2 linked regions of the Daphnia pulex genome follow. The protein of the gene in region 2 purifies or fractionates together with the protein of the main gene of each other region. This does not show direct contact. Links are inferred from orthologs where the notes say so. Each region holds a gene or a part of one and is shown on either strand. Other genes may lie near its edges.

Evidence for each region.
Region 1: the proteins of probable 18S rRNA (guanine-N(7))-methyltransferase (region 2) and multifunctional methyltransferase subunit TRM112-like protein purify together in Homo sapiens (affinity purification with mass spectrometry; 5 studies listed by BioGRID and IntAct, counting the BioPlex papers as one, with this or other methods). This does not show direct contact. The link is inferred for Daphnia pulex from reciprocal best matches to the Homo sapiens genes BUD23 and TRMT112.

The regions. Positions count from the first base shown.
Region 1 is NC_060017.1:6,066,677-6,069,738, reverse strand, and holds multifunctional methyltransferase subunit TRM112-like protein, read right to left. Parts: upstream 1,463-3,062; 5' UTR 1,380-1,462; coding exon 1,302-1,379; intron 1,241-1,301; coding exon 1,139-1,240; intron 1,059-1,138; coding exon 966-1,058; intron 911-965; coding exon 809-910; 3' UTR 804-808; downstream 1-803. Other genes in the region: tRNA-splicing endonuclease subunit Sen34-like, read left to right, coding at 1-326, 416-753; uncharacterized protein LOC124191043, read right to left, coding at 1,883-2,358, 2,424-2,516, 2,581-2,623. UniProt on the Homo sapiens protein: Acts as an activator of both rRNA/tRNA and protein methyltransferases. Together with methyltransferase BUD23, methylates the N(7) position of a guanine in 18S rRNA.
Region 2 is NC_060028.1:9,638,527-9,641,946, forward strand, and holds probable 18S rRNA (guanine-N(7))-methyltransferase, read left to right. Parts: upstream 1-1,339; 5' UTR 1,340-1,491; coding exon 1,492-1,530; intron 1,531-1,594; coding exon 1,595-1,632; intron 1,633-1,692; coding exon 1,693-1,871; intron 1,872-1,929; coding exon 1,930-2,189; intron 2,190-2,259; coding exon 2,260-2,501; intron 2,502-2,563; coding exon 2,564-2,714; 3' UTR 2,715-2,762; downstream 2,763-3,420. Other genes in the region: 2-hydroxyacyl-CoA lyase 1-like, read left to right, coding at 3,212-3,298.

The sequences.
Region 1 (3,062 bases), on a different chromosome or scaffold from region 2:
ACCAATGGAGTTAATGATTGAAGAGGTTTATCACTTAACTTCTCGGGGAATTGTTAAATTAGTTGAATTCAAACAACTAAACCTTCCTGCTCAAGGACCAAACAAGGAGAAAATAGAGGAAATGCACAAAGCAAGCTTTGCTGACCAAGAAGTTATCTTTAAGGAAGAAAGAACCAAGCAGCTGTTACAAATGGCAGATAAAATCATTGAGGGCAAGAGAAGAAAAATGAATGGAAAGACTGTTGATGAGAAAATAGCCCTTCAAGAAGAAATAGACAAAATTCCTAAAATGTCTAAAGATTTGATGATGGTTCAAATTTTTACAAGTAAGAAATAATATTATCAGTCTTTATCAGATAAATAATGTTGTGATGAATGATCATTTGAATGATCTACTTTTTTGTTCTTGTTGTAGGGCCTCACTGGACATGTCAGGGGGAATCAGTATTGCCATTAGATTATAATGTTAGACCAACTCTCAGGTGTAAAGTGTTCAGTGACTTGTGGGAGAAAGGTTATTACATAACATCTGGTGAGAAATTTGGTGGTGATTACTTGGTTTATCCTGGTGATCCATTAAAATTTCATTCACATTTCATAGCTGTGTGTGTTGAAGAGCATCAGATGTTGACTCCTTGGTTTCTGATACAAAAAGGTCGTCTGGGAACAAGTGTTAAGAAAACTGTTTTAATGTGTAGCTTGGATGAGAATGATAAAGTAAATTATCAGTCTGTGAATTGGAATGGAAAATAAAGCACTATTTAAAAAATTGGACACATGTTGAATTGACTTGTATTTTCTACTTCAGTTACACTTCATCTTCATTAGCTAACATGTTTGGAATTCCATCAGTAACAGGGAATTTTCTCCCTGTCTCAGGACATATCAGATCTCCATTCATGACTTCAATCTAAATAAATGGTAAATAAAAAAATGGAACATAAATAAAATAAGAAGATTATTACCTCCATTAAAAAGTGGTGAGCTTTTTTCAAGAATTCTTCATTATTTTCATAGTCATCTACAACAGTTGGGGGAAGTTCATCAGTGTGTCCAAGCTAGATAATGTAGAAACAGAAAATCAACACATATTTAACCGTTTTTAAAGGGTAGCATTCAAATCGTGATTTCTTTTTACATTTTCTGCAGCTTTACAGAGAGCTGGCCAGTCCACTTTTTGAATCATCCGTGAAATGAATTCTGGGTTGAAATCAACTTCATTCACTTTAACTTCTTTTGCCTGTAAAACATATAAAGTATTTCATTTTGGTAAAAAAAATGATTAATCAAAGAGTACTTACAACAATGCCTAGAGGATACCCAACTGTTACGCCTTTCAGACATTTAGAAGTCAATATATTGTGAGTTAAAAGTTTCATTCTTAATTCGTTAAATTATTGAGCTCTTGACAGACGAACACACGTGTGTTTTCCAAAACAAATTTTCTACAAACCGCTGCCGTGCCGGACGGGGTTTACATTTTTGCTTTCACGGTTTCACCCCAGCCAGAGCAATAGATACCTGGTCGGTTCTCGGCCGTGTTGGCTTCCCTATCCCGGTTTCAGGGTAAACGTGGTCCGATTTGGAAAAAATGATGAGCGCCTCTAGTGAGTGTGTCAGGTACTACGTGAAGCCAGCCAATCAGGAAGGGTCTATGAAAAACTCATTGACCAATCACAGCTTACTTTTCTACAAGAAGTGAACAAAATAAAAAGGTAGAAGTATCCAACTGTCAAACCTCTAGGTCTTTTCTAAGTGTCCCAACATTCTTACATTTTATTGTTTGGTTGCGTAAATTGTTTATTCTTTGTAAGTGTCCAAACATTCTTACATTTTATTGTTTGGTTGTGTAAATTGTTTATTGTTCCGTTGACATAATACACTACTTCTTGTTTTGAAAGTGTACACTTTTCACATTATAATTTTCATTTGGTAGTTGATCCATCGAAATGCAAAAAATCGTTTGTTTAATTTGATCAAAATACCATGTCCAATTCTTTGGTACCATTGATGAAGTTACTAGTGACTGAAATGTCACAAAATTAGACTTGAAATTAGTAGAGCTTGCTTCCATAGAAGGTGATGTAACTGTCGAATCTTCAATGACAACAGCAACATTTTCGTTCATAACATCAGGAAGTGGATCAAAAATTGCTTCTTCAGCAGCCTGGTGGGTGTCCATTGATTCTTGAATAGTAGAGGTAGCTTCCACAGAAGGTGATGCAACTGTCGTATCTTCCATGACAACAGCAAGATTTTCCTTGATTGAATCTGGAAGTGGATCAAAAATTGCTTCTTCAGCAGCCTGGGGAATGTTGATTGATTCTTTAATAGTAGAGGTAATTTCCATGGAGGGTGCTATCAGATAAAATTTAAAGCAATTGCTCTTAAAAATAAAATGTAACGAGAACTATTATCAATACCTGTACTGTCAAATTTTTTTCTCTTAGACGTAGTAGGTATTTTGTCTACTTTTGGTCGTTTCCTTACTGATGCATTGCTAGCATTTGTTTCCACTACAATACATATTTAAGAATTGCGTTATTTGATATTAAACAAAATAAATATATTTAAAAATACCATTAATGTTATTTCTCCATTTGAAACCATCAACATTTTGCATTGCTTGTCGACTAGGTGTATCTAAAATGAAAATGGTTCAGTTTCTGTGCTTTACAGATTATACAGGAAATGTAATATCAATACCATTTATCAGAAAATGTTTGGGAATTGCTCCAGCATTACGATTCCTACGTTTGAAAGGATGGAACACGTTCAAAATTTAAATCCCTGATTTGAAGTCACTTTCGTCAAAATGACGGGAGCAAATACGTGAGGTGCTCGTCAAATAACTACATGGAATTAGTTCTCGCCATTTAGATAATGAAGTTTTAGGAATTGCAACCAGGGTAACCTCGTTTTCTTTTTGATTTCCTTTGAAATATGTTGATTTACAACCAGGAACAGCACACCTGCCAACCATTTTTACAGAAATTATGGTTAGGCTTCATTCACGTAATACACGATGATGGCCGCCGTATTCACATATTACACAAAAATGG
Region 2 (3,420 bases):
GATCGCTTTCTGGATCAATACGAAAAATGCGGATCGCATCATCACCAGAAGCTGTAGCAAGTAAACCCGTCTGGTGACACCATGAGATATCGTAAATGGCACGCGGATGAACTCCAGACAAAGTACAGACGCACTTCCAAGTTGGCATATTATCTGATGTGGCTACTCCGAATTCGTTTCCAGGGAGATATTCTTTCCAAATCTTGATTGTTCGATCATCGCTGCATGTCGCCAATAGTTTTCCTGTAGAATCAAAAGCCAAGCTCCAAACCGTCGATTCGTGTGATTTCAATGTTGCAAAACAAATCCAGTCGTCGTCCTCTTCACAAAACATCTTGACTGTGTTGTCGTAACTAGCTGAGGCCACAATATCTTGATGTGGATGCCAGACAACTTTTTTTACGTCTTGTGTGTGAGCGCTCAAGACCGCAGCGCATTCGAATTCTCCATCTTCGCCAACCTCCCATATCCATACACTTTTGTCTCTGCTGCATGTTGCCAAAAAAGAGCCAGATGCTGACCAAGCAACGCACTTTACTTCATTCTCATGGCCCTCTAAAGTTGCCGTGCATTCATATTGATTGCCTTCCGTGCTAGTACTCTTGTCCCAAATGCAACAAGTACCGTCGAAACTTGCAGAAGCAATAAGCTTGTTACAGGGAGAAAAGGAAACGGATCGAATAGTGCGTTGGTGTCCATCCGACAAAATCGAACGACACACCCAGTCATTGGAATTGACATTCCTTCCCCAAAGCCGAATGGTTTTATCTTCACCACATGAAACCAAAATATTTCCTTCTTGATTCCATCCTACATTCCACACAATTCCTTGATGGCCTGGCAATTTGCAGAGCTCGTCTAGTCTTGCCATTACAAACACTATATTAAATGTATATGTGCTACCTGGAAAGAGATCAAAAATTTAATTATATTTAAGGGGAGCAAAGAAATGCATTCGTGCAGGTATTTTCGGAATTGGAAAATTTCTTCACAAGTTGATTAATTTACTGTTAGTGTTAGTCCACTTCACTTAACAATATGGATTTGTACACACATCACACAAAATGTGTGCCAACAAAATAACAACATGTAACTTAGTCAATCTAGTTTTGCAGTAAAAGATTATTACCAAAATATTTTTTGGGGGTGATCGAATTTGATCACGAATGCACGATGTGTTTCCTGGGACGATTCAAGTTACGGAGATAAGATACGCAATGCTTGCTCACGTCCACATTGGTAATGGTATGTGCTTCTGCTTCGACCCGCATGTCAGACGAAAATAATAATGAAACATTACGTTCTAATTACAACCACAAGATGGCATCTTTCTTTCTTCGTCTGCTTCGCCTTATGTTCACAAGTCACAACACATGTGCGCGTGAACTTGTCTAAAAAATAAAAAATTTGGTTTTGTTTATATTCGCAATAAAATCTGTTTGATTTTATTTACATTCAGATATAGTATTTTGTACTTAACAGATCAGAACAATGTCTGGGCGTCCGGAGCATCAAGCCCCACCAGAAATTGTAAGTTTGTCAGGATGTTTTCGTTTGATAAAATAATTTCTTTACATTGTGTAATTTTTTGTAGTTCTACGGTGAAGATGAAGCCCGTAAATACTCTCGAAAGTATGTACAACCTAAGTTAAATTTTTTCACTTATTACATGTTGTGTGTTTTATAATACAGTACACGCATGATGGAGATCCAACTTACTATGTCAGAAAGAGCAGTTGAATTGCTGTGTTTACCTGAAAACCAGCCTTGTCATCTACTTGATTTGGGTTGTGGATCAGGTCTCAGTGGTGAAACATTGACCGAACAGGGGCATATATGGACAGGAGTTGATATTTCATCTGCCATGTTGGGTATTCAACAATTTGTGTACTTTGCAAATGAAATCACTTATTTATTCAATTCTAAAAGGAGTGGCAAAGGAAAGGGAAGTCGAAGGTGATCTCTTATTGGGAGACTTGGGTCAAGGTCTACCCTTTCGTGCTGGTGCATTTGATGGTGCAATCAGCATCTCAGCCTTACAGTGGTTAGAATTTTTTAAAGTTAGATGTTTCAATAATTATTGTCTTATATTTCATTTAATTGACTGCAGGTTGTGTAACGCAGACCAAAGGTCACATAATCCTGCAAAGAGACTGTACATATTTTTCTCATCATTGTACAGTTGCTTGGTTAGTTATTTTGAGATAGTGTGCTAATTTATATCATTTTTAATATTAAGGAGTTTTTACAAAAATTTAGAGCCGAGGAAGCAGAGCAATTTTCCAATTCTACCCTGAAAATAGTTCTCAAGTGGAGCTCATCACGTCGCAAGCAATGAAGGCTGGTTTCACAGGAGGACTAGTTGTTGACTATCCCAATAGTACCAAGGCAAAAAAGTTTTTTCTCTGTCTAATGACCGGAGGACAACAACCATTGCCTGCCGCTTTGGGAGTAGATTCGCGCGAAGATGCTCCTAATCATGTTGCATTTTCACAGAAAAGGTTTTCTTGATCATAAAATGCTATAATGTTACCAATTTGAATGTGTGTTTGTGCGTTTGCAGGGATCGGGTTAAACAACTGCGCTCAGGAAAGGCCCCTAAAAAGAGTCGTGACTGGATTCTAGAGAAGAAAGAACGCAGAAGACGACAAGGAAAGGAAACGAGAGATGACTCTAAATTTACTGGTAGAAAGCGACCATCTCATGTGTGGTAAAGTGTTTGTATCTTGTTAAAGATTCGTGAATACAATAACTTCGCGTCATTTTCTCTTTAAAAAAGCTCCGGAAACGGAAAGCCTTCGAAAGTATCGAATATTTTGCTGTTGCGAAAAAAAAAATAACCCAAAAATCTTTAATCTATCTATCAATCCCGAAACAGGTAGTACAGTACAGAGTGGTAATAGAATAGGGAAAACTGATAAATTGGAAATGGCTGGAATGAATCTGGTTAATTTTATAAATTGGCCTTTAAATAACAATAAACCTGGTCTGCACGCTGAAAAATGCATACAATCGACACATTATATAATCAATCTTTGAAATCGATACTCGATAGCGATACTAAAAATGTTGTAAACATAAGTCGTCCTCTCAGTCTCAGCTCTCATTCAGCGACTTGCTATTCTAGACTCTAGTATTCTGCTGTGAAAGAATTTAAGTTACCTATACATAATTATTTTTTTTTAATTGCATGGTTTAAACTGGTTTAAACATGAACCGCGTATTCTCAGTCACATTAAATTGTTGCATTGCTCGTCGATTTGACTCGTTTAAACCACTTGTCATTGCACCTCAATTTGTAAGTCTGGCAACATCAAAATAATCAGTAAAATATTTTTTAGAATAAATATTGACAATTTGACATTGAACGAACGAACTTAGTAGGCTATCTATAATCTAATATCTTACTGTGTTTCTGTA